Stegostoma tigrinum: one gene and its partners. The protein of the gene in region 2 interacts with the protein of the main gene of each other region in a pairwise test. Links are inferred from orthologs where the notes say so. Each region holds a gene or a part of one and is shown on either strand. Other genes may lie near its edges. The genes, in order: ptpn9a, reep6 and litaf.

Region 1 (10,707 bases), on a different chromosome or scaffold from region 2:
TGTAGAGGATGGCATTTTATTACAGGGAGCAAGAAGGATTGTTCCAAGAAAATGTCACTGCCTGACACTGGCAGACCTCCACCAGAGTCATCCAGGGGTTGCCAAAGTGAACGTGCTGGCGAGAAGTTATGTCTGATGGCCAGGCCTAGGTGCAGATGTAGCCATGTTGGTGGGGCAGTGCTCAGAGTGCCAACAAGGACAAGAATTACCACCAGCAGTTCTGCCATCTTAGTGGGGGCGGCTAGGTAAACTTTAGACATCTACTGTGCAGATCATTTCATGGTTGGGCATGCAGAGAGTACATTTGTCAAATGGGATGACAATAGAAAAACTGTGCGTATCTTTTTCAATACACAGAGTCCTGAAAGGGTAGGTCATAGTTACGTTTATCAGCAGAGAATTTGGGTATTTCCTAAAGTTGAACAGCATTGGACATGTAAGGACAACTCCATATTGCCCATTATCCGATGGCCTGGTAGAAAGAGCAATGTAAACTTTGAAGGCTGGCTTAAAGAATCAGCCTACAGCCTCACCAAGAGACGACACTGACCCAGTTCCTATTTGATTATAGGACTGTTTGATATGAAACTACAAGAATAGCTGCATCACCGTTTCTAATGGGGAGAAAACTCCACACCAGGTTAAGTCTGATCTTCCTGGACCTGGGGGAGGGTGAAACAGCATCAGGATTGCCAATGCCAGACTTGAGACTCTGCCAAGCAAGAGAGACGGTTTGATATAGGGGTCAAAGCCTGGTGTAAGTGTCACAGAAAATGGCCCTTCACCGGTAAGGGGCATGGTTAACACAAGATCAGGACCAGTGATGTATGAAGTTTGGGTCAGTATGACAGTCCTGAACAAGCAAATGGACCATATGAAGGCTGCAAATGCGCGAACGGTGTGGAAGCAAAACATGCCCGGCCCCTCGGAACAGTTGGCAATGCTACTGGAACCTGTGGGTTCACCTCGCCATCAAGTGTTGACAAGAGTTCTGAATCAGAGATAGACATGATGGATATAGCTACCACGAAATCTATGCTGCCAGGAGAATGAAATTCTACTGAAGCACTGCTTGCTGGGGCAACAGGCGAGCTCCCATGCATTACACGCTACCACATCCAACGCAGAGTTGGAGGAACCTGACCTGGTGCTAAAACACCCCAGGAGTCTCTCCAAGAAAAATGACTGGCCTATATCCTCAGGCTCAGAGAGGGAGGGATGTAGAGATTGTAACGAGGTCATGCAGCTGGACATCATAGAATATGGGATCCATGATTGCACCAGATTAACAGCCCCAGTCAGGGACCTCTGACTGACAAATAAAAAGGTGAATGTCAGAGATACTGCCACTCTGGGAGCTGATTTTGAGGAGGTTGTATTTGGGTCAAGGACCCTTCATGAGTAAGTAAAGGAAGGGTGACTCGCTCACTTGCTTCTGTGGAGTTATTTCAGTGATGCTCCATGTTTCAGTTGCCTTTGACCTTCCAGGTAGTATAGATTGTGGATTTGGAAGGTGCTGCTGAGGGAGCCTGGTTGTGTTGCTGCAATGCACTTTGAATAGAAGTACACATTCCTGACACTGAACATCAGTGGTGGAGGAAGTGGATGTGGTGTCAACCTGCCAATGTTAACCAGGAGAGTTGTGATAATGGGGGATTCACTGTTGTAATACCACTGAAAGTCAAGGGGTGTTAGTTAGGTTCAATCTTGTTGAAGATGATCACTATATGGCACCTATGTGTCCAAAACTGGGATATTGTCCAGATCTTGTTGAATTTTGATGTGGACTGCTTCAATATCTGAAGATTCCTGAATGATATTGAAGTTTGTGTCATTATTAGTGAACATCTACACTTTTTACCTTAGAAAATGGAGGGGAAGTCATTGAAACAGCTGAAGATGGTTGGGCAGAGGAAACTACCCTGAGGAACTCCTGAACTGATGTCCAGGAATTGACATGCCTGACCTCCAACAACTACAAGCATCATCCTTTTATGTTTGATATGAGTCCAATTAGTGGAGAATTTTACCCCAATTCCCATTTACTCCAGCTTTACCAGGATTCCTTATAGAATCAGAGAATTAGATGGCATAGAATAGGCTCTTTGGCTGATCAGTTCTGTACTACCAAAAATATGCTGCTGCTACTATATATACTAAACATATTAGTCCCACTTCCTCACACAAGGGTCATAGTCTGGGATGTTTGCTGATTCAAATACTTTTTAAAGCTTATGATATTTCCTGCCTTAACTACCCTCCCAGGCAGTACATTCCAGACCTCCTCCACATTTTGGGTGAAAAAGATTTTCCTCAAATCCTTTCTTAAACATCCTGTCTTTCACTTTAAAAATTGTGGTTTAATTTTCCCCTGCTTCTTGGCTTTTTAACTAAGGGGAATAGCTGCCTTTTATCAACACGATCCGTGCCCCTCAATCTTATACATTGCTTTCAGGTCTCCTCTCAACCTTCACTCCTCCAAAGAAAACAACCCGATCTCATCTAATCAGTCTTCATTGAAATGGTCCAGCCCAGGCAATGGCCTGGTGAATCTCCTCTGCACCTGATCCGTGCAATCATATTCTTCCTCTTGTGCGGTGACCAGAACGGTACACGGTTCTTCAGGTGTGGCCGAACCAAAGTCTTTACAGCTCCAATGTGATCTCCTTGCTTTTATAATCTGTGTCAACTGATCATAACTGCCCTATTGACCTGTCTTGTCACCCTCAGGGATCTGTGGACAAGCGCCCCAAGACCCCACTGTTCCTCTGAGCTTCTTAGTGTCTTGTCACCCATTGAGTACTTGCTTGCTCTGCTCCTTCCAAAGCGCATCGCATCACATTTATTAGGGTCAAATTCTATCTGCCAGTGATCTGCCCCTCTGACCAATCTGTTTATATCCTCCTGTGGCCTAACACTGTCTGCCACCTGGTCAATCTTTATGGCTTCCAAAAATGTACTTATCATCCCTCTCACATTCTCAACCACATTATTTGTGAATATCACAAACAATAAGGGATCCAGTGCTGATCCCTGTGCTGCACCACTATGCACTGTCTTCAGTCACACAAACAGCCTTCTAGCACCATCCTCTGCCTCCAGTCACAAAGCCAACTTTGGATCTATCTTGCCAGGTTATCCAGGATCCAATGAGTTTTTAGAGATAATGGGAACGGAGAGAGTGGTCTCTCCGGAAAGCAGAAAGGGGTGGGGATGGAAAAATGTCTCGGGTGGTGCGGTCGGATTGTAGATGGCGGAAGTGTCGGAGGATGATGCGTTGTATCCGGAGGTTGGTAGGGTGGTGTGTGAGAACGAGGGGGATCCTCTTTGGGCGGTTGTGGCGGGGGCGGGGTGTGAGGGATGTGTTGCGGGAAATACGGGAGACGCGGTCAAGGGCGTTCTCGACCACTGTGGGGGGAAAGTTGCGGTCCCGGAAGAACTTGGACATCTGGGATGTGCGGGAGTGGAATGTCTTATCGTGGGAGCAGATGCGGCGAAGGCGGAGGAATTGGGAATAGGGGATGGAATTTTTCCAGGAGGGTGGGTGGGAGGAGGTGTACTCTAGGTAGCTGTGGGAGTCGGTGGGCTTGAAATGGACATCAGTTACAAGCTGGTTTTCTATCCCCACCCCTGTCTGCTTTCTGGAGAGACCACTCTCTCCGTGACTCCCTTGTTCGCTCCACACTGCCCTCCAACCCCACCACACCCGGCACCTTCCCCTGCAACCGCAGGAAATGCTACACTTGCCCCCACACCTCCCCCCTCACCCCCATCCCAGGCCCCAAGATGACATTCCACATTAAGCAGAGGTTCACCTGCTCATCTGCCAATGTGGTATACTGCATCCACTGTACCCGGTGTGGCTTCCTCTACATTGGGGAAACCAAGCGGAGGCTTGGAGACCACTTTGCAGAACACCTCTGCTCAGTTCGTAACAAACTACTGCACCTCCTAGTCGCAAACCATTTCCACTCCCCCTCCCATTCTTTAGATGACATGTCCATCATGGGCCTCCTGCAGTGCCACAATGATGCCACCCGAAGGTTGCAGGAATAGCAACTCATATTCTGCCTGGGAACCCTGCAGCCTAATGGTATCAATGTGGACTTCACCAGTTTCAAAATCTTCCCTTCCCCCACCGCATCCCAAAACCAGCCCAGTTCGTCCCCTCCCCCCACTGCACCACACAACCAGCCCAGCTCTTCCCCCTCCACCCACTGCATCCCAAAACCAGTCCAACCTGTCTCTGCCTCCCTAACCTGTTCTTCCTCTCACCCATCCCTTCCTCCAACCCCAAGCCGCACCCCCATCTACCTACTAACCTCATCCCACCTCCTTGACCTGTCCGTCTTCCCTGGACTGCGATAGGGTTAGGGTCCTATCCCCTCCCTACCTATACTCTCTCCAGCTATCTTCTTTTCTCTCCATCTTCGGTCCACCTCCCCCTCTCTCCCTATTTATTCCAGAACCCTCTCCCCATCCCCCTCTCTGATGAAGGGTCTAGGCCCGAAACATCAGCTTTTGTGCTCCTGAGATGCTGCTTGGCCTGCTGTGTTCATCCAGCCTCACATTTTGTTGTCTTGGATTCTCCAGCATCTGCAGTTCCCATTATCTCTCCCTCCTCTGATGCTGCTTGGCCTGCTGTGTTCATCCAGCTCTACACCTTGTTCTCTAAAGATTCTCCAGCATCTGCAGTTCCTACTATGTCTTGTATGATTTTTTTTTCCCCCTTACTGCACTTGGTTAGGGTTTTGTTTGAAGGCAACGGATACCGGGGAGATTTGGGCACCCAACTGAAGATATTGAGACAGGATAGAATTACAAGGCGGGGGGAAGAGGGAAGGTCCGGGATTTGAACCCGGGTCGCCCGGTCACCAGCCCAGTGACATGACCACTGCGCCACGGTTGGCGGGCAGGGCGGGGCCGTGGAGGATGAACCTGTGAGCAGAGCTCAGCCATTGTTTGGCTGAGGGAGGGAAGGAAGGAAGGATGGGGGCGGAGAGTTCGTCCAGAAGCCGGGGGTAGCAGCGGCAGGCGGTTGCAGTGAGAGCGGAGCGCAGCCGGGCCTGGGCGGAGAACGGAGTGAGGATGGCGGCGGAGCTGACGGCCGAGGAGGAGCAGGTCAGGAAACAGCTCAGACCGGATAATGTAGTGCGCTTTGTTTTTAAGGTGGGGAACCGGGGGGAGACGATACTGATTCTCCCCCCCCCCCCCCCCCCATATCTGTGTCGGTGGTGAATCGGGCGGCTGTTTCCACATCCCCCACCCCCACCTTTTCCCGGGGTAGGCCCACCGTTACCACGGCAGCCGCGGCCTATCGGGGCACCGGGCTCGCGTACCGACACCAGGGCGAAGGGGTGATTCCTCCCCCCAGCTCCCGCTCCTTTCCAGGCAGCTTCCCAATGCGGCGTTCACCCTGATTTAATGACAATTCTTTCACTCCCGTCCTTCAAACTTTAAAAAAAAATCGTCTTTTTCTTCCCGTGCAGGCATTTCTCTTTTCTGAAGGTCGGATTTATTTTAATTCTAACGTTCTTCCCCCCCCCCCACCCTTATTTTTCTGAATGCAAGTTGAGGGGGAAAAATTCACTAAGCGACAGATTTTTTTTTTCAAAATCTCCACAGAATCTCAAGGCTTATTGTACAGTCCAGTTGATTCTGTTATCGTGGGTGTCCTTACGAAAAAGCTGCCATTTACTTCCAGCAAGCTTTTGTTCTGAGGCGGTGTCAAGCGAGCAGTTTCTCACCGGTTGGGTGCGTTAGTCACATCCCAAAGATAAATGGATCTTAATTTCAAGAGATGCCTCCAGGTTGAGGAGCAGAAGTTTTGTACTTGAGAAGGGAAAACAGTACATTTGGAGAAATTGCCATTTCTTTGTAGTAAACTTATCATTTCCGAGCACAGTTTAAGTGGTAGACCATGGAGGTTTAGGAGTGAACTGACGTTGATACGTTGAAAGAGCATTTCGTACAGAATTCATTTTGCACCCTTTTAAAATCAGTAGAGCTTGAATATGTCATGAGGCATTTCTTTTAAAATAATTGATATCTTGCCAACACTGGCTTGTTCAAAATAGGCACTGTGTAGTTACTGTGAAATATCTTAATATTTGATAATGGAGACCTGTAGATTAACAAATTTCTTCCTGTTTGCTCCTGTTACCTGAGTGCTAGTCAATATGTAAGCATATGGCGTCATGTGATACTAAACCACATACGAAGAAAAGTTCCAGAACCGTTGCTTGGTCTTTCCTGAAATGGTTTCTTGCAGTTGGAGCTCTCTCCAAAATACTGGGCATCATTGGTGAAGTGACAAATGTGTGAAATGGTCACTTTTTAGAAATTCACAACGACAAGGTTAAGGTCAAGGTCAGGATCAAAATCAAATCCCTTCCTCTGCCTAACTGTGCTGGAGGAGGCAGGTGTGGATGAAGTGGGGGAGAGGTTCCAAACAATTATTTGGGGACTAATCCTGCAACTCTGGATGACCATGATTTGCCATCTTGATCTGTGGGGCGGGAGAGAAATACAGTAGCTATATACTCGTAGAGAGGTACAGCATGGAAACAGACCCTTTGGCTGAACTCTTCCACATTGACCTGGTATCCTAAACTGATCTAGTCCCATTTACAGGCATTTGGCCTATATCCCTCCAAATCCTTTCTACTTATATACTCATTCAGATGCCTTTTAAGTGTTGTAATTGTACCAGCCTGCCCCTTTGTCTGGCAGTTCATTGCATACACACATCGCCTTCTGCATGAAAATGTTGCCTCTGGGATATATGGCATCTTTCAAGGTACTTTTAAAAAGCATGTTATCTGTTCCATGGATGACAAGTTTTTCTATCTTGTGCTGTTAGAAATCATTGGAATCCATTGAATTCTGCTGGACTTTCAAATCCAGGACTGGCAGTTCATATTGAGTGACGGGGGATGAATGGAAGTGTTAAAATTAGGATTGGTATATTATCAGCTGAGGATACAGCTGTGAGTACTGGTGAGAAGATTGCAACAAGCTCCTTGTACTCATGCTTGCTGAAACAGATTTGCATTTGTTATGTATATTTAAGTTATTAATTGAAACATGCTGCACATTTCTAAAACTGTGTGAACTTAGAATACCATACAACTCATTATTAAGACAAATATATGGAAGTCAGTTTCACATTGTTTGTGATTGTAATCACATTATAGAATGGGTGGGAGAATTGGTTACAGTGCGGTGTGTATTTACATATTTTCAGTCTGCGTTGCTACAGTGAGTTGCAGGACTTGCACTGAGGTGGACTTGATGATTTGGCGGAGTTTATGTTGACCTAGATTGGATCGTGGAAAATGTTAAAATTTTCATCCTTGGCTTTAAGTCCCACCGTGGACTCAACTCTCATCTCATCCAGCATGCAGTGCTCCAACTTTGTGACCATCTAACTCCACTGTCTCAATCATCTTGTTCCACTGGTGGCTGAGCCTTCAACTGCCAAGGACCTAAGATATGGTATTCCCTTCTTACACCTCTTTGGCTCCTTTTATATATTTTCTTTAAAACACTCCTTAAAATTTATCCTTTTCATCAAACTTTTGGGCATTTATTGTAATGTTGTCTTAGATGGCTTGGTGTTGGAATTTGTTCCAGAAGGGCCCAGTGAAACACCTTGGAACATCTTGTGATTGATAGATGCCCTGTATTCATAAATTGTTATTGTTGAATGTGCAGTATAAATACAAGTTTTTTTTTCTTCGTCTTGACTCCAAGGCTGCAACAAATGAGGAGTAGATGGAGTAAGGTCGAGGCAGTTGGGAGACAGTACAGTATTAACGTTAGTGAACATAGTCGACAGTTCTTTCAGCTGGAGTCCCAGCCTGTCAATCCCTGATGAGTATCAGTAATCGATAAAACAAGATCAGGATCAAATCGAGTTGCGATAGGTCCTGTGGTTGAGTAACCTGCCAGTGTTCACCCTCTCAGACGCTGCCAACCAAATGTTTCTTTTGGGACTAGATGGAGGCAGTTCCCACCATGTTCAGCAAATGTAGTTGCCCTTTGCACTATAAAAACTTACAGGGGTCCAGGAAAATGGTGAAGATGTAATGTTCATCCTGTCAGTTTATTTATTTGCCTCTAGCTTGGGAATGTGATATTGCTGGAAAACTGTTGATCCAAAGTCTGGCTGAAAACTCCTGACTAAGCTTCTAATTAACAGAAAGCTTGTGATGCTCAGTGACACGGAAAAATGCTGCTCGTTAGTCTGCTGCATGAAAGAAACTTGACTGCTTTGAAGTACTGTAATGCTACTGTCAGTCTCAAGAGTTGATTTAGTCCTTCCTTTTTAGTCTAGCTAAAGTCCCTGACTCAATGATTTTGCTAAGTTTCATTTTTACAATACTTTGTCGGAAAATTAATTGATTCTATGCTAGAAGCTTTTGTATATGGTTTCAGTGGAAATTGCTAATTATTTCATTTTTCTTTTAAAAATGTTAACTTCCTGCCCAGTAAGTAGTAATTTTATTTGGTGATCTTAGGAATTCGTTGTGAAATGTAACACTTGGTATTCCTTGGGAATCGAAAAGACAACTGTGGAATTAGGGCATTCTGCCCGTTGAGTCTGTAACACCATTAATGAGATCTTGGCTGATCTAATAATCCCAACTGCACTTTTCTGCCTTATCACCATAACCCTTGATTCCTTTACTGATTAAAATGTCTGTAGCTGCCATGAACATACTTAATGGTCCAGTCTCAACAGTCCACTGCAATAAAGAATGTGACAGATTCACTGCTCTCTGGGGGAAAAAGTTCCCCCCTCATCTGTGATAGTAGGAATAGCTGATGCTGGAGTTTGAGATAACACAGTGTGGAGCTGGAGGAACACAGCAGGCTAGGCAGCATCAGAGGAGCAGGAAAGTGGATGTTTCAGGTCTGGATCCTTCTTCAGAAATGGGTGAGAGGAAGGGGCATCTGAAATTAATAGAGGTGGGGGCGCGGTGATAGAAGATGGACAGTGGAGCAGATTGGTGGGAGAGAAGATGGATAGGTCAAGGAGGCAGGGATGAAGCTAGTAAAGGTGAGTGGAGGTCAGAAATTGGGATGGGGGTTGGTCAGTGAGGTGGGTGGAGCGGGTAGGTGGGAGAGAAGACGGACAGATCAAGGAGATGGGGATGAGGGCGGGGTCTCGGTTCGCAACAAATGACAACACCTCCCAGTTGCAAACCACTTCAACTCCCCTCCCATGGCCTGTATGACATGTCCACCCTGGGCCTCCTCTCGTGTCACAATGATGCCACCTGAAAACTGGAGGAACAGCACCTCATATTCCACCTTGAACCCATTGAATGTTCTCTGTGTGGACTTTACAAGCTTCAAAATCTCCCCATGCCTGATGTCATCCCAAGACCAGCTCAACCCCCCCCCTCATCCCCGCCTCCTTCACAACTCCATCTTCTCTCCCACCTATCTGCCACTCCTACCTCACTGACCAACCCCCATCCCACTTCCTGCCTACACTCACCTTTACTAGCTTCATCCCTGCCGCCTTGACCTGTCCATCTTCTCTCCCACCTATTTGCACTACTGTCCACCTCCTATCACCGCACCGCGCTCTCTATTTACTTCAGAGCCCCCTTACCCTCCTCCATTTCTGAAGAAGGGTCCAGACCTGAAACGTCAGCTTTCCTTCTCTGATACTGCCTGGCCTGCTGTGTTTCTCCAGCATCACACCACGTTATGCCTCTCGTCAGTATCTTACATGGGAGAGCCTTTATGCTGAAATTTTGTCCTCTGATTCTACATTTGCTCACATCTACCTTGATTATTTAATAAAGGTCTCCTCTCATTCTACTAAACTCCAATGTGCACAGACCTAAGCTGCTCAATCTCTCCTTACAGGGAAAACTATCCATACCAAGAATTAGTCTACTGAATCTTCCCTGGACTGTCTCCAATGCCAATATATCTTTCTTTAGATAATGGGACAAAACTGTTCACGGTATTCCAGGTGTGGCCTGACTAGTGCCTTGTCTAGTTTTAGCAAAGCCTCTCTACTTTTATACTCACTCCTTTCTGAAATAAAGTCTGATCTATTTGCGTTCCCTATTACCTGCTGAACTTTTTGTGACTTTTTGAGAATCACTTATGAGGCCATTCATATTCTTCTGCACTGCAGCTTTCTGCAGTATTCCCCAATTAAATAATATTCATCTCTTCTATTCTTCCTGTCAAAGTGCATAACCTCGCATTTTCCTGTGTTATGTCCCATCTGTCAAGTTTTTGCCCACACGTTGAACCTGTCTGTATCTTCCTTTCGACTCCTTGTCATGTTTGCTAGTTGTCAGTACTTGCCTTCCTGCTGACTTTTGTGTCGTCCAAAAACTCAAAAATAGTATTTCGCTTCCATCATTGATATATTTTGTAAATAATTGTGGCCCCCGCACTGATCCCTGTGGCACTCAACAAGCTATCCTCCTGAATGTATCCCCTTTATCCCAACATTACCTTCTGTCCTAGGCTGTTATTTTGGAGTTGGTCGTTGGCTCACCAAGTTGACTGGGTTTCATGCAATCGTTTAGTCTCCCTTATAGGTGACATGGTCAGTGCTGTATATCCTCCGTTGAAGCGCTGTTTTTCTGTTCCGCTCTGAATTTATATCTGGCCTGTCATGGTGGGCAGCCTTGTTTCCGGTTTTGTATCGTAATGGTATGTAGATGGGTC
Region 2 (11,702 bases):
ATGCCCTTGATCAATGTTCCTTGTAGGCCATGTGGCCACTCTGAAGGTCCATACAAGACATTGTACCAATGCAATTCCTGCCGTTGATGTCCAATTATGACATCTACAAGACACTGCAGAAATTCACCAAGGATCCTTGGACAGCACCCTCAAAACCTACAACTACACCACTTCAAAAAAAAAGCAGCAAATACATAAGAATACCACCACTAACTGCAAGTCCCCATCCAAGCAACACCATCTGGGCTTGGAAATATATCGCCATTCTTTCACTCACTGGGTCAAAGAGCTCAATTTCCTTTCCTGACAACACACCTACACCCAAAAGGACTGCAGTAGTTCAAGGCGGTAGCTCAAGATCTCATCCCACAGGGCAAAAATCTCCACACTCATCTAACGAACAAATAATAAAAACAAGTTTGATAACGCAATAGTGAAATTTACCTTGGGCTCCTTTTCCAGTCGCCTATGTCGCATTTGGTGTGGATTGATGGATCGTTTTGACACTCCTTTGTGTTTAAAGTAGTAATAATGGCCATCTTCAAAAACCTTTTTTTCCCAAAAAACAGAAGACAGCTCAAATGGCTATATTGAGCATTTACTGTTTGAGTGAAACTATTTTACAGAAGTCTCCCGACCCCGATTAGGCAGAGGGCGAACAGAAGAGAGAGCAAGCAGAAATTGAGACATTCAAGAGGCACAATTAAGCATTCTGCAATGTCATTAACACTGTCCAGAATGATTTAGAAGAACTTAATGCTGACACCAAAATTTTACTTCAAAAAAGTGAAGAAGTCCAATCATGTGCAGTAAGAATACAATCTTCATAATGTGCATTAAATAGCCATTTTAAACCCAGATTATCATAAGTTTCAGTTAACATGGCTGAGATAATGTCATGCTTCAAATTATATGATATTTATCATCTTAAATAGCTCTAAATCAACTCTTTCAAAAAAAGTTGTACAACTAATGTAATTGCTTAATGCACAGCACTTATTTTGCACAGAACATCCTACAGAAAGTGTGTACAAGCAGTTAATTAATACAGTTGGCAGCAACAGAAGGAGGGAGTGTCAGACCTATCACACTCACTCTTGAAATCTTCCCCATAAAATCTAAACCACCAAATAAAAAAACATACAAAAACTTTCCAACTAACATCTCACACCAAAGCACCAGCCTTGGTTATAATCCATATTTTGATTCATTTAACTCGAGTGGGAGTGCTAATGTAAAGGAGGCTTATACATTTAATAGCATTTACAGCACAAATTGGGACTGGGAAAAACTCCTTAACAGTGATGTTAAAATTAAATGCCAACATGTGTAGTGTTGCAAAAATGGATTGAAGCAGTTGCAAAACCTCAAACTATTGCTTTAAGCTCCACACACTTTTCCCCCAAAATACATGCCACATTTATTCTACATATTAGGATAAAGGCATGAATAGGAAAAGTTGCATCTATAGCAGACTGAATTATTCCCAATTAAAAAAACATTTCTCAGTCATTTCCATTTGCTTCCATCAGCAACAATACACCACGTTTTTACAGACCTCCCCAATACTCAAAACGATGAGATAAACATCTGCATTTCTTTGTTATCCCGGTCCTAAAACAGCTCTGCAGCTGCTTTAATTTATGGCATTGAGGCACCATCTTTCAGAAGTCAGAAAAGAAAACACATCAATACCAATAAAGAGTTATTTCCTTCTTAATTATTACATTGGTGTTACATCACTCCAATCCTAAACCAAGCATGCAAAGGAATAACAAAAAAAAGTGCACATTTTGTTTGGGCTCAACACAATACTATAGGAATAGTGCACAGTTTTAAAAATAAAAAAAATTGAGTGGTCAACATTTAATCCTCCTATCAACGCTCTAAGTAAAGCAAATCCCCAAGGATCTGGTGATCACATTGCCTAGAGGAGCTTGTTGTGTGTAAATTGGTCGCATAGTTCTGCATTATAAACTGTATAAGAAAGGCGGTTTATTAGATTCGGGACATACTTGGGCAGTGAAAAAATGTTCTATGTACGCCAAACTTTTGCTGGCACTAACCATTCACCAGCATAAGCCATACCCGTCCTAAGTTGATGAATCCGTGTTTGCGAGCTATCCTCTTGGCTTCCCCTGCCCCACCAGAGATGTGGACAGCCCAGGTGTTGGTGTAGAGCCGCCTGCCGCTACTAAATTCACCAACAACACTTGCAAACAGGCCAACCACTAAAAGCTGGCGGATATAACTCATAACGATGTGATGGACCTTCAAGCGATCTCAACTCCAGCCTCAAACTATGTCATTTTATAGCCAAGGTCAGCTCCAGCGCAGCAAGACTAAGAAGAAACTTGCTGCAGGTCGTTAAGGGATTTTTTTTTTAAAAAACTAAGCCTCAATACAATGTCGGGGGAGGAGCAGGGGCAATAATTGGCTACGGTTTCCAAAGTATCACACGCACACCATTAAATCAGGGATGAGAAACTTGCGGTAATTGTGTTATTGTTCAAGTTGGAGAGTGGCGCTCACGGAAACAGCCGAATGTTGCCGAAGCGGAGTCAGCGGGCAGGTTCATGTGGAGCGCCTGCCCTCCCTCCCTCCCTCCCTCCACATCACTCCGGGGTTTGGGGGAGGCGAATGGAACCTCAGCCAATGACCGGCCCGTTCTGGCGCGACGGTTGGCGGCGGTGACGTCGCCGCCAGGTGCGCCCGTGCTCAACGGTCGCTGGTGGCTGACGTAATCGGCAGGTGTGCTCGAGCTTAACGACTGAACACCTGAGGCGATGGGGGAAGGGATGATTGTTCCAGTTCTACGGGTCGGAGAATGGAGGACTTGGATATTGTATCTGACCTTGCTCCTCTTCAAAGAGGTGTAACGTCTGAATGAAGTCCTGAAGTTTCCACCACCGTCCCCATCCACAGTCACAATAACTTGCTGAGAAACCCATTGACGGCTGAGTCCCAAAACCCACACCCTCTACCAGCTAGATGAACAGGGAGGACATATGTAAAAGCAAAATACTGATTACTGGAACTCTACAGAAAGAAATTAAGCAGGTCTGACAGCATGTGTGAAGAGAGAAACTGAGATGAGACTCCGGTATGACTTCTTCAGAACTTAGCAAGTTCTGCAGTAAATGCACAGGAGCAACTATCACCAGCTCAAAGTTCCTCTCCAAGTCACACACCTTTCTGACTGGAAATTTTACTGGTGCCATTCTCTATTGCTGGGTCAGAATCCTGGAACTTCCATTTTAACAGCATAGCAAGTGTACCTGCAGCATTTAGTTCAAGGTGGGAACTCACTACCACCTTCTCAAGGGCAATAAGGGACGGTGAATCAAATTCTGATTTTACCAATGTCACTCTCATGCCATGAAACAACTTTTAGAAAGGGCTTAAAAAGGCTCATCTTCCCCTTGAAACCCTCTGTTACCTTCAGGCTTCGAGTTACTTTTCTGTGGGGGAAAAACTGCACAAAGAAGCTACAATTTCTGCGATTTAAAAAAAAACTTACCCTACCTCATCTTGCATTGTGAAAAAATAGTTTGTGGGCTTCATCCCAAATTTTGGCCATGATGTCACAATTTTATGTTATCAACAGATATGGAGCAATCAGAGATAGCACCCACTGATTTACAGCAAATGATAAACTGTGTGGGCGGAGGAAGAGTTGAACCTGTCATCATAAAACTGTAAAGTGGATATATATCTGCTGAAAAAGCTAGGGATGAAATTGAAAGAAATGTTAACTTAATAGATTTGTCTCTAAAATATGTCAAACAAATACACAATTTACTAAATTAATAGGTTTGAAAACAGAAAGTGCTGAATCCACTCAGCAGATCAGAAAGTATCTGAACAAAAAGGAATAGCTAATATTTTAGGGTTTTTCATCAAAGGGGATACAAATGTTGAATTACTGTTAAATATATGAGAAGGGATAATGATTAAACTTTGTAATTCTCTAATTAGACCACACTTTGCATCCTGTAAGTAACCTGGCCACTTAGAAATAAAGAAAAATCAGAAGTACAGGGGAATAAAAATGAACGGAAGTATCATGTCTCTCAGATTGGAAAATAATTTATGATTCCATTTGAAAGCAGGTAAAGAAGGCCCTTATTGCAAGCCATCACTACACAGAGTTAATGTTGTTACGCAGCAGTTTTTGAGACATCACCTTGCCTTACTAATACTCTATAAATAAATAACAGAGAAACAGTAATTATTAAGAACTTGCATCTCATTGGAGATGCTTTAGGCCAGTCCACATCCATTAGCCAGCTATGAAAACGGTGCTCATTTTTTAAAGCTATGACAAATTCCAAGGCAGCATCTGATATATTCTGCAGCATTCTAAAAGAATAATGTTTTAAATCAAACAGCCCTCACCAGGGACAAAAAGAAGGCCAAGATAACTAACTTTGCCGAATAAATTCCCAAAAACCAAACATTGATTCCTGTTACTATACCACATATAATGCAGTCCCAAAACATTTTAATTGTGAAAGTACAAATTAGATTCATTAGTAGTTACAAGTTGCAGAAATTTAAGTTTTACAGATTTTACATTGAAGGAATTTGTTGTATTGTTTTCCTTTTCAACTTTTACTTCAGATTATAACCATGTGCTCATTTTATGCCCTGGGTGTGGCTCCCATGTTAACTATTTTTGCATAGAAGTCACTGTAAAAGATGATGGAAAGAGGAAAGTGCATGGAATAACAACATTGACATATTCATTTGTTTTTGCCCAAATCTCTTTTAGCTCTTGCAGGTGTTTTAGTTATAATTATTTAGCTCATATTACAACAAACCAAGAAATTTATTATTTACTTTGAAACAGCAATTTACTGTTTTATGTTGTGTGACCCATTTTTCTAAGCACAACTTGTCTTCTATTAAAATGCAGCATAAAATCTACTGATAAGATTGCTTTTTTTGTTTAGATTTTAAGTGTATTTGTAGCATTTTCTGTGCTCTGTCTATTTGTGTTTTGTTAGCACCAATAAATGAGGGAAATATTTAATTATAATTATGATCAGAAGCAACAGTAATTTGAATACTAGCTTTCAAAGATCATGAACAGTCTTTTTGCAAATTACTCAACTGATTTAGACTCTTAAAAGTAGTTTACAATGCTCAGAAAACAACTTGAACATTTGAAAATTATACAATTAGAAGAAAATAATCAAACGTTTTAATTCTAAACCAAAAACAGGAAATATTGAAAACACAAACAAGACACCTGTGGAGAGAAAGGCTGGGCATTGGATTAGTTTTGGCTATTTGTCATAATGAGCTGAATAGACACTTTCACTAAAACAGCTACCAACTATGTTGCCTGCAAATGCTGGTAGTCATCCTGACTTTCTAGCCATTTGCATATATAAGTAGACTATGCATCATATTTACAACACACAAATACACCATTTGGTTCAGCTTGTCCATACCAGATTTTACACTCTGCACAAACCACCTCCACCCTTCTTCATCAAGTCCCATACTCTTCTATAACCTTTTCGCTCATGTGCTTAACTTGATTCACTGTAAATGTTCCACAGTACAGAATTGCAAACTTTACATCCTTGTTCACAAAAGTGTGTAAGGTTAAGATAGCAACTATGGATCATTCACTTTAAGGTTGTTGGCGGGAAAAGATTTAGAATCAATAATTCAAGACCCAATTAACAGTCTCTTTGAGAAATACAAAGTTGATTAAGAAACCGACATAGAATTATGAAGGGGAGATTAAGGCCATTAACTAGCTTAAGTTTTTGATGAACCAACAGAGAGAGTTGATGAAGGTACAAGTTATGGTGAAGTTCTAAAATACACTAGTTCAGCCTCAACTGAAGAATTGTATCCATGTCTGGATAGTACATTCTAGGAAAACATGAAAGCATTTTAAAGAGTGCAAAAAGTATTTACAAAATTAATTTCAAGTTTGCACAATTTTAGCTACCATAGCAATTTGAGAGGAGTTTTGATAGATTATGTTCAAAATAATTAAGTTTCTGCACAAAATGTAAAGTCCCTATAGTTGGGACAGTTAAAACCCAGAAAACATTAATTTAAGATGACTTGGAAAAGAACCAAAGGCAACATGAGAAAAATCTTTTTTATGTATTTATTGTTTATGATCTGGAACCTGCTCTGCCTCTGATAGAAGCACATTCGGCCATGGTTTTCCAAAGTGAGTTGAATCATTAATTATGTAAGGAAAAAGGTTTTCGTGGAGGTGGGAGAAAGCAAATGCCGATGAAATGTTCTAGCTGAAGTAGCATAGACACGACAGACTAAATGGCTTCATTCAATAACCATGTTATGCTTCTAGATGGTTCACCTCTCCTTGTGTTGGTGAGTTTCACAATCTGCCTTTGCGAAACAAAGTTTCTCTTGAATTGAAAAAGATTTTTAAATTAGTTATCTTATACATTTGGTCATAAAGTATTGGCCTCCCAACAACAATAAATGGTCTTACTACATCTACCTTAGGACTTCCAAACCTTTTCCCAATGATGCCATTTCAAGACTTGAAAATTGTCATGAACAAAACAGAAGGTGCTAAAAAAAAGCTCAGCAGGTTTTGCAATACCTGTGATTAAAAAAAAAATCAGAGTTAACATTTTGGGTCATTGACCCTCCATCAGAAGCATTGAAAATTGTCATGACTCCTCAAGGAAAACTGAGAAGTTGGGGTTGGTGGTGGTTGGAAAGACCTATGAGAACAGGAGGCAAGAGCAAAGACCTATGAAAACGAGAGGAAAGGAGCAGTGACAATGGGAACTGCAGACGCTGGAGAATCCAAGATAACAAAGTATGGAGCTGGATGAACACAGCAGGGTGCTTTGTGGTGATCATTACTGCCTGAAAAGCTTGCAACCCCAAAATTTCAGCAGGCAACTCTGCTAGAGTCACGAACCCCCACTTTGAGAAGCCTTGACCTACTCTAGTGAAGCAAGTTGTAGCATCAAATACGTCTAGTCGGTCTTCTACTTTTTCAGAATAAAACGTTCAATTTTTTTTCTGATATTGATGAACTCCGAATTCAGGTTTAACTCCAGTAAAGAGATAGTAGGAACTGCCGATGCTGCAGAATCTGAGATAACAAGGTGTAGAGCTGGATGAACACAGCAGGCCAAGCAGCTTCGGAGGAGCAAAAGGTTCCAGACCCGAAACTTCAGCTTTCCGGCTCCTCTGATGCTGCTTGGCTTGCTGTGTTCATCCAGCTCGACGCCTTGTTATCCCTTAACTCTAGTAAATCTGTTCTTGCATCTATAGTATTCTTGTGCCTCTATACAATTTTATAACACGGTGACCAGGACTGTAAATTGTACTCCAAAACATGGTCCCTTCTGGACTTGCCTGTCTATCATTTCTTTTTAAATCGCTATACAAAGTCAAATTGACAAACAAAGATCTGGGTATGAGTATCAACCGTGGTTCCAATTGGGCAACTGGTGTGCCAATCACAAAATGATGCCGGAAACGTAGCTCCAACAAACGGATCGCGTCGTCGTTAAGCGGATTGGCAGAAAGGTTTGAGAGTCAGCAAAGTGGAAGATTAGTGGGATAGCTGCAATAAACGGAACGCGTTGGGAGTTAGTAGTGTCTTCTGTTACCTTTAGTAGTATTTATTGCAAAATGCCGTCCTTGCGAGAGCGCTTTGAGAATTTCCTGAACGAGAAGAACTTCATCACCAACTTATTGGGGAAGATTGAAGAGAAGACCGGGGTGCGTAAATACAATCTAGCCACAGGTAGGTCACAGAGACTTGTTAGCACCCAATTGTAATATGTTGTTGAATGTCAACTTGCGCTGGCTTCGACTGCGATTTGATTTCGCTTGTAAAAAGAAAGAACTGAGGACGCTGGAAATCAGAAATTAGTGGAGAGCAGTCAGGCTTAACGTTTCGGGTTGAACGACCCTTCAGAACGCGTGTCACCCGTCTGCTACATGTTGCCAAAAGCTGTGGTTACGTTTTTGGGGAAGTCAAGACCCTTCAAGACACGAATCGGTGATATTGATAGTGGAAATTGTAAGGGTCACTTAAATACTTGTCTTTTTTTTGCAATCATGAGCTGTAACGATTTAAATTGCATTGTTAGTGCGTGGTTTTGGAGCTGAGAGGCATGTGGTTTGTGTCAAAGGACAACATTTAAAATTCCAAGATTTATATGATATTCTAAGCATATGCTGACTGAATTGGTACTCTTTATATATTAACAAGTTGGTTAGAAACTTGGTCTGTTTTAGTAAGAAGGAGGAACCACAATTGAAACAGTTTTCACTTAATTGTGGTAGATATAGGAAATCTGTGAATTTGGTTAAGCTGTTATTTTTGAAGGAGTAGCATTGTATGTTTCGTGCAGATTAGAATGCTGGGAGGTTATGTTGTGGGAATGTCACTGGATTATTAATCCAGATCCAAGCTAATCCTCTGGTGACATAAATTCAAATCAGATTCAATTAGTAAAAGCTGGAATTGAAAACTGGCCTCAATAATGTTGACCGCAGAACTGTCATCAATTGTTGTAAAAATAAACTCGTAGTTCAGAGTTCACTGCTTATGCATGTGACTCGTGACAGGAACGTGGTTGATTCTGAAATACTGTAACCCAAAAAGCCATTCAGTTCAAAGGCAATTGGGATGGGCAACATACTTTAACTTTTGCCAGTGAAACACGTGTGAAAGAATAAATTTAAAATTAATTTTATTATTGAAGCAGTGCCAAAAGAAAACTCCAGCACCAGAACTCATAAATTAAATATATTGGGGGAAAATTCAGCAAGGGGATTTCCTTTTTCCTCGAGAAAAGAGAAAATGGAGGGGTGACCTGGTTAAACCTGTGGTGTAGGACATCAATAAATTTGTTTGGCATTCCTTGTCGAGAGTGTTCAGAAATTGAAATCCAATAGTGCAAGTAATTGGGTGAATAGCATAGATGCCCTCTAAGAAGAAACTGAATGGACGTGCATGCAAAAAAAGGTTAAACTATTAGAACTGAATTTAATGAAAACTGAAGGAGGTTGGTGTGATGCACAAGCACTGTGAGCCAGTTGGGTCAATGACCTGTTTTCTTCTGTTCCGCACTATTGCGTGTACTATTTTGCGTCCAAATTCAGTTCTGATCCAACATTCAGCAAGTATCCCAGCAATATGCAAAATATTTTAAAGACAAGATGTTACCTAAATATGCCACTTCTTTTAATCTTCTGTTCAAATCCTATGCTATTTCAGGTCTATGTGTACCTTCAAGAAGCTCCTTTTTGAAACTTATTTCCTTAATTACATATTTTATTTGTCAATCTGAAAAGTTTTCAATTCAAGTTCTGAAGTATGGGCTTCTTAACACCAATACCAAAAGGTACATGTTGAAAGTAACAATCCTTTTTGTGTATTGAAATGTAAAAAAATTTCACATATTTTAGACTTCCACAAATGTGCCAGCTTTTTTGATACTAACTGTGTGTCTACAGAAATTTTAGTTTTCTCATTTATGCAATTGTTTATTTGCACATGGTGGAAATACCTTCGTGTTTTCAAATATCTTTTGGACTTGGGCAGGATAAAGAATGCAAAGGAATACATGAAGAGTAGAACAACCCTAGGAATTGCTGAGGATCAGAGGACTTTGGTGTGCATGTCCACCTATCCCTTCAAGCCATAGGACAAGTCGATAAAGTGGTTAAGAAGGCACGTGGATATTTGTCTCTAGCTAAGGCATTAGAAGGGAGTTTATGTAGGAATTGTATTTAAAAAGTTGGTCAGCCAACAGCTAGAGTATTGTGTGCATTCTGGAATCCACACTTTAGGAGGAATATATCATTGGAGAAGATGCAAACATAATTAATCAGGATTTTTTTTAAAAAAACAACAGCAAAAGAATGGTGGAAATCAGAAACGGGAACAGTCTGCTGGAAAAGCTCAAATCTGGCAGCATCTGTGGACCTAACATCTTCAGGTCCAGTGACCCTTCTTCAGATCAGTTCTTCCATGTTACAGAATATTTGAACTCTGTGACTAAAACATTAATGTGGTAATTCCCCAAAATGATTTCCTTAACTCCACTTACTACTTATGCAGTTAACTCCAGATAAACCACAATCCATTGCCGGATCATCCCTGTTTGGATAATGGCTCAGCAACTTGCTGGACATGGAACTGAATAACTGAAAAGAATAAATGCAAAAATACTGAAGTTGCTGGAAATCTGAAACAGGAATGGAGCACTGGGGAAACACACAAGGACAGGCAGCATCGGTAGAGAGAAAAGAGTTGGTGTTTCAAGTCCAGTGACCCTTCATCAAAACAGAAATAGACAGAATAGTCAGTAACCGTGCTGATAACATTCATGGGGTTGAGTATGTGATCTGTTATAATATGTACACACCATGTAACTAAGAAGAGCAAAATGTAATGGAAGTTCATAACTTGTAACTTGTATTGCCAGTCAACCTTGATGTTAAATTCCTCTCTTTAAATTAATCTTTGTAAGACTTAACAGTAAAAGTATTGTAGAGTACTAGAGTAGTATTACTGAGAGCAAAGACTTACTGCTGAAGGCCTTACCAAACCAACAGCTTCTGTTTTAAAATTTGCATTATAATTAATCTTGCGTGATTTGTTTTCTTGTGTCCAAAGGCAATTGCATGTGGCAAATAACAAGGAAAAGAAATTCAAATAAGCAATTATTTCCATAATGTTTCTAAGTTGTAGCTCCATTGCAAGTTGCATTTTAGCTCTGTACTGGACCTCAGTGTATTTTATGAAGTTGATTTTATAGCCAAATGAATGAATGCTTCACAAGGAACTTTTTACCTATGTTGCTAAATGTATGTATGATCATTTCGCTGAGGTTAATTGAAAACAGCCTTAGCAGACAGGACAATTTAAACTTTGACAACAGTGGCTGCAGGGTATTGATCCTCCCTATACTAAAGCATTCCCTCCTATGACAGTTTTAGTGGCAGCGATTTCTTGCATTTTATTGCAATATTTAAGTGATACACAGCTTTCCACATCTACAGGTGTGTTCTAGAGCTGGAGACGGAATTTATTCAAGCAGAGGGTGGTGGTGGAGGGTTTTTCATACCGAAGACCTGTGACCCGTGGTGTGCCGCAAGGATCGGTGCTGGGTTCACTGCTTTTTGTCATTTTATATAAATGATTTGGACATGAACATAGGATTTATGGTTGGTAAGTTTGCAGATGATACCAAAGTGGAGGTGTAGTGGTCTGCAAAGAAGGTTACCTTTAGAGTACCACAGGATCTTGATCAGATAGGTCAATAGCTGAAGAGTGGCAGATGGAGTTTAATTTAATAAATGTGAGGTGCTGTGTTTTGGTAAGGCAAATCAGATCAGGGGGAGACTTGTACACTTAATGGTAAGGTCCTGGCGAGTGTTGTTGAACAAAGAGACCTTGGAGTGCAAGTTCATAGTTCCTTGAAAGTGGATTTGAGAGTAGATAGGATAGTGAAGAAGGTGTTTGGTAGCTTGTGCTTATTGGTTAGTGCATTGAGTGTAGAAATTGGGAGGTCATGTGGCTGTACAGGAAATTTGTGAGGCCACTTTTAGAATACTGCATTGAATTCTCGTCTCCCTCTATATGAAACTTGAAAGGGTTCAGAATGTACTTACAAGAATGTTGTCAGGGTTGGACGGTTTGAGGTACAGGGAGAGGCTGAATA
Region 3 (10,700 bases), on a different chromosome or scaffold from region 2:
AACAAGATTCTAATGGATTGCTGTTGTAACAAATACAAGTCCCACTTATGTAGGTTATGAGTCTTCTTAAATGTTCTGTGCCTTCACCATCGTATCTTCTGGTCAGGAATATTAACTAGTTATGCCTTTGGTACCATTTTTTATTTAGACGGTGCTTTCTCCAAGGCATAGAGGAGGCTATGAGAGCCAGCGATTCTCTCTTCAGGCCTGAGGGCGTTTAGCTCTAGCGGATGGCAGTTAGCTCTGTAGTCTTTGTCCAAATCTCTCCTTCTTTTATATCCTTGATGACATATCAATACTTCTTAGAATAGGATTGGTCCTATGTTGTCAAAGCCATAGATTTAAATTTAATCGGTTTTTGGTATCTAAGTCCCTGGTTCAAATTGATTGGCTAAATTCAAAAACTTGTTGTCCTGGTAAAAACTGCTGCTTGGCCAGCTAACTGTTTGGCGTCTTGATACAAATATTTCAATTTGGGTGCTCAATGTGTACTTGCAGACTTTCGAGCTGCTGCTCACAGGCATCCATTTTAAATCTCTAAGCACAGAAAAAGCACGTCATCTTTTAAAGGGACCACACAATGCTCTCTCTTCCCCCCACCCCACCAACATTTTACAACAATAAGATTCTAACTTCCTACCTCCCAATCCACAAATACTCTACCCAACACTGCAACAGTATGAACTAATGGCATTTGCCTAAGTTGCTGAAGTTCAGCCAAAGCAATGTACAAAAAAACACCTTCAAGAATGTTGATCAGTTTATGCTTCCGGCTGTGGACCCAATCCCAGGGCAACACATGGCACAGTTCATAACCACCTGGTAACGAACTCTTTTACGTGGGGATGCCCTGGGTGACTGCTCCTGTGAGTATATATTGTTGTATGGTGTGTTAAGAAAGGGTCAACGTAGTAAGTGGAAGTTGCATTGATAACAAAGGGAAGATAAAGCCACCGTAGTCCCCGAGGACCATAGGCTGCTCTCTCATTACAGAGAGAGAAAGGGAGAGAGAGAGAAGATCTGTAGCTCCGTTGAGGTCGTAGACTTCCTCAATGAGCTGATGTGTGTGAATGCAGATATTTTGTCACCCTGCTAGGTAAAATCATCATTGCGCCTCTGGTGAAGCGTTGGTGTTCTGTCCCGTTTGTTATTTATATGCTTTGATTTGCTGGGTGGTCCAGAAGTGATGCCAACTAGCCCAGCAAACCGAGGCATATAAATAACAAGCAGGACAGAACACCAACGCTTCACCAGAGGCGCAATGACGATGTTACCGAGCAGGGTGACGAAACACCTACAACCAAACCCACCAGCTCAGCGAGCAAGTCTACAACCTCAGATCAAGAGAGATGATGGGCGATGGTTCAACCTGAGGGTCACCATGTCTTAGACACTTAGCAATTTTTAATAGATGCACCATAGAAAGCATCCCATCTAGATGCATCACAGTATGCTATGGTAACTGCTGTTCCCAAAACCACAAGAAACTACAGTGAGCCATAATCACAAGCCCTGTCCATCATGCAAACCAGCCTTCCATTCTATGACTTATCTGTACTTCCTGCTGCCTCGGGAAAGCAACTAACGTGAAAGACCCTCCACAGGCAGATCACACCATACGAAGTATGTCAGAGTAGCAAAACAGAGTGCAGGGTATAGTGTTACAGCCGCAGAGCAGGTGCAGAGAGAGAGATCAACATTAACATTTGAAGGGTCCATTCAAAAGTCTGACCCCAGCAGGGAAAACCCCTTCCGCCCCAGTTATATTCTCTTCATCCTCTTCTGTTGGACAGAAGATATAAAAATTTGAAAACATGTTTTATTAGATTCAACGGCAGTTGTTGTCAGACTTTTGAATGGACCTCTCAAATGTTAATGCTGGTTTCTCTCTCTCTGTACCCTCTCTGTGGCTGTAAAACTGTACCCTGCACTCCGTTCTGCTACCCTGACATACTTTGTATGGTGCGCTCTGCCTGTAGAGCATGCAAAACAACACTTTTCACTGTATCTTGGTAAATGTGACAACAATATATCAAACCAAGACTCAAAGGGAGAGGTCACGAAGTGGGTCCTTCATTAGTAACTGAACCTGTGATATTGACATTATTCTGCATCACAGAGCAGCTATCCATCCAACTGAGCTAACTATGCCCCTGCAGTCATTGTAGTGTTTTGTATAATAGATATCAAAGTATGAGATGAAAGGGTAGGGAAACCCCTTGTCCCCCTTTAGTTTACTTCACTCAGTTTGCATTTAGCTGATTGATGTCTAACAATGAAACATACTTATTCTCCTCATACTTCCTAGTCCTGCTCCTTAGTTTTATTCAGTGGTCTATAGCATATTCTTGATGTTAGTTTGGAATTTTTAAAATCAGGCTGTTTAATCAGAAGAGGCATTTTTTACAACTTTTTACATACCACATAATCAGCTTCTTTTACCTCCCAATTGTCACTGAAATGTCATCCATTTGGCATTTTAAATGTCAATATTCCGAATCTATCCTCATTTTCTCTGGTTGGAGTTATTCCTAGCTCAAATGGAGACGGTTGTGGCTGTTGGGGGTGATCATGTCAACTCCAGGACATCTCTGCAAGAGTTCCTCAGGGTAGTGTCCTAGGCCCAACCATCTTCAGCTGCTTCATCAATTACCTTCCCTCCATCATAAGGTCAGAAGGGGGAATGTTCACTGATGACTTCACAATGTTCAACTCCCTAGATTCTGTAGCAGTCAATGTCCATCTTCAGCAAGGCAACACTTGCCCTTCCTCAGGCAGCTCAGGAAATTTGACATGTCCATAAGGCCCCTCGTCAACTTCTACATATGCACCACTGAAAGCATACTGTCCGGGTGCATAACGGCCTGGTACGGCAACTGCGCTGCCCAGGACCATAAGAAACTACAGAAGGTGGTGTGCACAGCTGAGAACATCATGGAAGCCAACCTTCCACCCATGAGCTGCATTTACAGGGCTCAATGCCACAGAAAGACTGCCACCATCATTGAATACCCATCCCACCCTGGTAATGATCTTCTACAGTCTCTTCCATCAGGCAGAAGATATAGAAGCCTAAATTCACATATGAGTGGGTTCCTGAACAGCTTCTTCCTGGCTGTTATCAAACTGATTAATGGACTCTAGTCTCAAATAATGCTAATCTTGCTAATGTTGATCTGCCTAGCATGCACACTGTGCAATATAACCTGTATGCTCTGTCTAATTCTTTTCACAACCCCTGATTGTACATCCTTGCTTACTATGATCTGCCTGTACTGCTCATAAACAAAGCTTTTCACTATCCTTCGGCACACGTGACAATAATCAAGACATGGACAATTATCAGGCTTGTGCTGATAAATGGCAAGAAACATAAAAATACCAGACAATACCTACATCACATAAAAAGGCCTTTAATCATCTCTCTTTGATATTCAAGAGCATTACCATTGTTATCCCTGGGGTTAGGATGAACATCCCGAGGGTTTCCATTGTCCTTTAATTGAACTGGTCCCGCCATATAAATCCTATGGCTGCAAGAACAAGTCTGAGAATGGGAATACTGCAGTGAGCAACTCACCACCTGTCACCCCAAAGCCCTCCCACCATCTACAAGGCACAAGCCCCCACTTTGCTGGATAAGCACAGATCCAACAACGCTCAAGAAGTTTGATTGGCACCTCATCCAACACCTTCAACATTACTCTCCCATTGCTCAGGTACAGCAGTCTGGACTACAGCGATGTACACAATACAGAAGCTGCACAGCAGCACCACTAAAATTCAAATCTTTCAAATCTGTGGCTTCTCCCATCAAGAGGGACAAAGGCAGCAGATACATGGGAACCACTTGCAAGTCCCCATCCAAGCCACACACCAAAAATATATTATCGTCCCTGCTGTGCTGCAGGATTGAAATCCTAGAATTCCCTTCCCAACAGCATTGTGGAGCAGTGGCTAAACAAAATATCTCAGCACTACATTCTGCAGGACAATGGGTGGACACTATATGTTGGCCAGTCAGTGACACCCACATCCCAAGATTGAAGGCTTTTAAAGTCTTACGGATGTGACTCCCCTCGCATTCATACCGTTCCATTGTCCTTGCCGAAGATGTTTCCTCCGTCTTATTGTACAACATTCCTAGTTCCTGCAAGCTCCTAGTTTGAATGATTCTTAATAGCTGCCTCAATGACTATCACGTTCTTCGACCAGTTTTGCTTTGTAAGCTCTACCTACATAAGAGGTCCACTTTATTCTGCAAAGAATCACAGAGTCTTAGAGCTCTCCAGCACAGAAACAGACCCTTCGGTCAAATTCATCCATGCCAACCAGATATCCTAAATTAGTCTAGTCCCATTTGCCAATATTTGGCCCATATCACTCTAAACCGTTCCATTTCATGCACCCATCTGGATGCCTTTTAAATGTTGTAACTGTACCAGCCTCCACCACTTCCTCTGGCAGCTCATTCCATACACGCACCACCCTCTGTGTGAAAAAGTTGCCCCTTACGTCCTTTTTAAATCTTTCCCTTCCCTCCTTAAATATATGTCCTCGAGTTTTGGACTCCCCTACCCTGGGGAAAATACCCTTTTACCCTATTCATGCCCCTCATGATTTTATGAAGTTCTATAAAGTCACCCCTCAGCCTCTGACACTCCAAGGAAAATAGCCCCAGCCTAACCCTACAGCTCAAACCCTCCAACCCTGGCAACATCCTTGTAAGTCTTTCAAGTTTCACAACAACCTACCCACGGCAGGGAGACCAGAACTGAACACTAGGTGCAATATGTCAGCCTTCCTGCTTCTATGATGCTTCTTGGCCGGCTGTGTTCATCCAGCTCCACACCTTGTTATCACAGTATTCCAGAAGTGGCCTACCTAACGTGCTTTAGAGATTCCAAGCAAGTTAATGTGAGCACTTTCTTGTCCCATTGACAGTTCATTGGACACAAGTTGGCTAAAAATACTTGACAGACATTATTTCATGCTTCTAGGGCTTGAACTCGGGTCTCTTGGTTCAGAGGTAGAGACATTACTGCCGTGTCTCCAAAGCCCTCCAAGGCAGGGAATTTCCTGAGGTCGGCAGAAGTGCTTGACTGATTGGGATTGGCCATTAGTGCCCGTGAGCGAGCTGGCAATCAGCTAATAGCGATCGATCCTCGCCGCAGTGCGGCGTCATGTGTTAAATAGAGTCAGATGATACTGGCTCATACTCAGGGACAGAGCTACAGTGTGTGGTTTGTTTGTGTTTTATTATACGGGTACAGGGGTCCCTTTACACCGCTGTCGGACGTGGTGCATTTGAAGGATTTGAGGTAAAGGACTCGTTGGTATTTCTGCAATTCTCTAGTTCGTTTGCTGGGCTTTGTCGAAGTGTTTTGTTTTTTTTTAAGTAAAAATTTTGTACGATGATGGTGTGTGGGTTAGAATCAGTTGTAATGTTGTAAACGTTCTGGAAGAAAGTGTCTCGTAGCCCACCCCCGCCCCTCAAATCAAGCAATGTTGTGTATGTTAATGTTAGGGAGGGTGTTTGTTTGAACTGAGTCAAAAGTGACTTGTTCACATCGTTGTATTTAAAATAGTTTGCTTTTTATAAATCCTGGTGCCTGGTAAAGAGATGAAAGTTAGTACATCTTACTTAATTAGTCATAAGACTCTGTATTAGGTCAACTCCTCTATTTTTAAAGCTAGCTACCACGATGATGTGAGAATAGCTAACTACTTTTAGAAGTGTCTTTACTTTTCACGGAAGAATCCACAAATTTCTCAACTCGCAAAGTCCCCTAAGCGTAGCGAACTGATCTCAGCTCGGTTTAATTTGAAATTTGTTTTCACCGGTCATTAAGCAAAGTGCATTTACACTAGCTAAAATAAACATTGCCATTAAAGCATACGCAGTTTCTGTTAAATAATTTAAGGGTGGGGTTGGAAATAGGGTTATTAGGCTATCGCTGTTTAGTACTAAGTAGCCAGAGCCTAAATGGAAAACGAACTGTTCGTGCTCGTTGTGGATTTTGAATCTGCATTAGACTTATAAGGAAATGGAGTTCTTTTAAATTAAAAAGCTGAAGAAAAGCCACCAGGATTTGAAATGTTAACTCGACTTTCTTTGCACAGACGCTGCCAGACCTGAGTTTTGCCGCAACTCTTTTTTGATTTGAAAATAAACTTCTAGTGTCTTATGCTTTTGCCACCTTTTTAATGGGTTAATACACCTGTAAACTGCAAGCTGTCTATAGGGGATTGGTGGAATGAACATGACCACTCAAGCCAATGGTTTTTAACTACTGTACAATGTTGTGAAGTTTGTAGGTAAACGTTTGTTTGTGAAAGCATGCTGCTTTACCTGAGTGTGGAGGCTGGTGATAATGGGGACTGCAGATGCTGGAGAATACGAGATAACAAAGTGTGGAGCTGGATGAATACAGCAGGCCAAGCAGCATCTCGGGAGCACAGAAGATGATGTTTCGGGCCTAGACCCTTCATCAGAGAGGGGGATGCTGGTGACTGTGTTTCTGATCTTTGTGTGCCTCTTTATTGAAGGCAGTATCTGCTGGGTAAACTTCCAGAGCCATATGTTATCCAGAGCAGTATGGTAGGTGTGTGTGGAGTTGTTTCTCACTGAAGTGTATAACAAGGTTGTGAGCTGCCACTATAAACTACACTCTGCTCTTTCTCTTGAGACTTGCTGCCACCATCCTCTTCAGGAAACTAGATCTACTTTCTCCAGTGAGATGGAGAAAAGCTGCTTGGCCTGGCCAGATTCTGTTGAGAACCATCTGGTTTGTTGTGGTAACAATTACAGGTTATGTTGATGATTGCTAGGCATTAGTCATTAAGTTTCTCAAACAAATGTTGAGTCCTTTTTATTTTGATAAACTGTTTTGTCCACTAGTCTCAATCTTATGTTTTAATATGAAGATCTCTCTAGTAGGTTTTCATAGCTGAACTAATGTACAGGACAATAATCTCCAGATAAAACTTCTGCCATGAATACAAAGTCAGAACTTTCTGCTAACACTTGGGTGCTTTATTCATTCACGTTAAATGTGATAGTAGGGTTTGCGACTACCTCCATTATGGGTGGTGTTTATGGCTGTCCAGAATTAACCTTTCTGACTCGAGCATAATAATGTAGTTACTGAAAATCTAGATCTAGCTATGGTGTAGATTGTAATCAGGGTCAATAGGATGTAAAATGTTGAATAATGCTGAAGATCTTGAACTCAATGACTATGAAAGGCTGAGTGCTGTATGGGAAGCTTCTACCATTTGAGCAGTGTGACCCATTATTGTCACTGTCAATCTCCTGACTTTCATGCATGTCTTTTTAATGTAGTAAGATGCCCCAAGGTACCTTCCAACTGTTTCTCTTAACACTTGACCCTGAGCTAGCTGACTGGAAGCTTGGTTAGAAAGCCATGTTTTAAGGAGCTGCAGCTATGGCCATCACTTAGTTTTTCAGACATGGTATGTGCTGATTGCCAGTATTAAAGTAGATTGCTGGTAGAAGGGATTTGATTGATAATGAAATGATAAGTTGGTGACCATTGGTACAGTGTTTGAATAGGATTTGGTGTGAGTTAATCTAGGCAGCAGTGTGAAAAATGTTCATGCTGTATTAAGGATTTTGTGAATTGAAACTTCAGTATTATAACATCCATCACTAGACTGGATGCTGGAGAAACTGTACAGATCTGGCAGCATCTGTACAGAAAGAATTAATATTGAGTCCAGTGACCCTCCCTAATAGAATTGTATAACTTGCCTATTTCAAAATTGACCATAACTTGATTGCATCATGCAACAGGCTTAATGAGCTGAATGGCCTAATCCTAATTGTGGCTACTGATGTTCTCTTGAATCTGTGGGATAGTGTTTTGTTCGGCACTTACTGATCTTAATGCTTTTAAGCTGCTACCATTAATGAATGCAATAAATTTCTCAAATCAAGTTTGAGGGAAGGCTAACCTCAATTTAGAGTACAGGCAATCTGCAAATTAAAATTACATGCTACTTAACAAGCAACATTTTTATAACTGAAATGGTTTTTCAGTCCAAAAACACTTTTTTCAGGACAAATTTTCAGACTGCCCACCTGAATTGAATGGAGGTGGGTCAGAGTTGCAAAGTGCCACTCTATCAGGAAATTTTGTATTTCTTTTGAAGTGGAGGTGCTGCTTTGCTTGAAGCCCAGTGCCTGTTTTCCACAAGGAAAACAGATCAATATTGTGAACGGCAAGCGGTGTTGCTAGGCTACTTGATACACTTATACAGCTGATCTCATCTCTGCCTCAGTTTGCTTTCTGCCCATTCCCTGTAACTCTTCAACCCATCACTAATTTAAAAATCTATCTGACAAGTTTATTCAGGGTCACATTATCCACCATGCTCTGGGGTCGTGAAGGCGATAGTCAAGACCCTTTATGAGAGAAGCCATTTCTCCTGTCTGTTTAAATCTGTTACACCTTAGTCTAACACTGGTCTCTCCTCCTGGGTTGCCCCTCTAGGTTGGAGGTGGGGGCAGTGTGGTGGAGACACATCTCCATGTCTATCTTGTCATTCCCACTAGCATCTTGTGCAAATTAACTAGATTGCCTCTTGCTCACCAAAACTTGGTCAAGTTTAGGTCTTAACTGCTCAATCCCTCCTTGTGAGGCAAGTCTTTTTTCTGGAGTTAATCTAATGAGTTTTCTGAACTGCCCACCCCCATGCAATTACTCCTCTCTCTCCAGTAAGAGAATAAACAGTGCTCAGTACTCGGCGGGGGCAGCGCAAGTTTGCTAGATACTTCTAGAATGGCACTGCCTGCCATAAAAGTAATGCATCTTCAGCCAAATTCACGGCGTGCTTAGGGAGTGTTTGAGGTTTTTTAACGCAGAGATCTATTTTCAGGCAAGTGTTACTTTTTTCTTTGACTCTGTGGTCACATTACCTATTTCATAGCTTTTGGTGAGCACCCCAGTACTTGAAGGAAACCTCAATTGATGGAATTACTTCCAATGGATTGAAGTGGATTAATGTTAATCCCACACATGGGAAATCTTAATTCCATATGTGTAAATGAAAAGTGCAGAGCAGATTCTAAATTGCATCTTCATGTAATGTAAGGGGTGTGCTGTTGTCTGCACTTCCTAGAATATCCCAGATTTTACCCAATGTGCCACTGCACAAGTCACAATTGGTTCACTTCAATGTATTGTTAACTAATGGATTAAATTACTTGGAATTTTTCTTAAGTCATCTGTTCTCTTGCTGTGGCTATTAAAGTTTGAGATTGCACTGCTTGTGTAGAAGTTGCCAGGTCACTTGGTTAGGACTCTGTGCTGCACTCCTCCAGTGGTAATAATAAAATGTGAGGCTGGATGAACACAGCAGGCCAAGCAGCATCTCAGGAGCACAAAAGCTGACGTTTTGGGCCTAGACCCTTCATCGGAGAGGGAACTGGAATAAATGGGGAGGTGGACCGAAGATGGAGAGTAAAGAAGATGGTGGAGAGAGGATAGGTGGGGAGGGGATAGGTCAGTCCAGGGAAGACAGACAGGTGGGATGAGGTTAGTAGGTAGATGGGGGTGCAGCTTGGGGTGGGAAGAAGGGATGGGTGAGAGGAAGAACCGGCTAGGGAGGCAGAGACAGGTTGGACTGATTTTGGGATGAAGTGGGGGGGGTGCGGAGAGCTGGGCTGGTTTAGGGATGCAGTTGGGGAAGGGGAGATTTTGAAACTGAAGTCCACACTGAGTCCATTGGGCTGCAGGGTTCCCAAGCGGAATATGAGTTGCTGTTCCTGCAACCTTTGGGTGGCATCATTGTGGCACTGCAGGAGGCCCATGATGGACATGTCATCTAAAGAATGGGAGGGGGAGTGGAAGGTTGCAGGAACAGCAACTGACATTCTGCCTGGGAACCCTGCAGCCTAGAGTTGCTGTTCCTGCAACCTTCCACTCCCCCTCCCATTCTTTAGATGACATGCCCATCATGGGCCTCCTGCAGTGCCACAATGATGCCACCCGAAGGTTGCAGGAACAGCAACTCATATTCTGCCTGGGAACCCTGCAGCCTAATGGTATCAATGTGGACTTCAGTTTCAAAATCTCCCCATCCCTAAACCAGCCCAGCTCCACCCACTGCATCCCAAAACCAGTCCAACCTGTCTCTGCCTCCCTAACCGGTTCTTCCTCTCACCCATCCCTTCCTCCTGCCTCAAGCTGCACCCCATCTACCTACTAACCTCATCCCACCTCCTTGACCTGTCTGTCTTCCCTGGACTGACCTATCCCCTCCCTACTTCCCCAAATATACTCTCTCCACCTATCTTCTTTACTCTCCATCTTTGGTCCACCTCCCCCTCTCTCCCTATTTATTCCAGTTCCCTCTCCCCATCCCCCTCTCTGATGAAGGGTCTCGGCCCGAAACGTCAGCTTTTGTGCTCCTGAGATGCTGCTTGGCCTGCTGTGTTCATCCAGCCTCACGTTTTATTATCTTGGAATTCTCCAGCATCTGCAGTTCCCATTATCTCTAACTCCTCCAGTGGTGTTTAGTTAACTTCCTGTCCAGAATATAGGACTCGGCATTCTGTGAAGCTTGAGATTTGATCATGTTTCACGTCAGTCACTTTTTTTAAAAAAAAGCCATGCTCACTTTATCTACAGGATGCCAATGTTTACTGATGAAATGCTGACTGGTACTGTCCAAAC

What was found.
Region 1: the proteins of reep6 (region 2) and ptpn9a interact in binary tests that used the Homo sapiens proteins (3 or more experiments, as listed by UniProt). The two-hybrid records come from large-scale screens. The link is inferred for Stegostoma tigrinum from reciprocal best matches to the Homo sapiens genes REEP6 and PTPN9.
Region 3: the proteins of reep6 (region 2) and litaf interact in binary tests that used the Homo sapiens proteins (3 or more experiments, as listed by UniProt). The two-hybrid records come from large-scale screens. The link is inferred for Stegostoma tigrinum from reciprocal best matches to the Homo sapiens genes REEP6 and LITAF.

Annotation. Positions count from the first base shown.
Region 1 is NC_081389.1:4,441,195-4,451,901, forward strand, and holds the start of ptpn9a (tyrosine-protein phosphatase non-receptor type 9), read left to right. Parts: upstream 1-5,018; 5' UTR 5,019-5,088; coding exon 5,089-5,121; intron 5,122-10,707. UniProt on the Homo sapiens protein: Protein-tyrosine phosphatase that could participate in the transfer of hydrophobic ligands or in functions of the Golgi apparatus.
Region 2 is NC_081383.1:11,412,311-11,424,012, reverse strand, and holds the start of reep6 (receptor expression-enhancing protein 6), read left to right. Parts: upstream 1-7,499; 5' UTR 7,500-7,653; coding exon 7,654-7,768; intron 7,769-11,702. Other genes in the region: proprotein convertase subtilisin/kexin type 4-like, read right to left, coding at 445-549, 2,089-2,256. UniProt on the Homo sapiens protein: Required for correct function and survival of retinal photoreceptors. Required for retinal development.
Region 3 is NC_081376.1:5,008,150-5,018,849, reverse strand, and holds the start of litaf (lipopolysaccharide-induced tumor necrosis factor-alpha factor homolog), read left to right. Parts: upstream 1-5,193; 5' UTR 5,194-5,321; intron 5,322-10,700.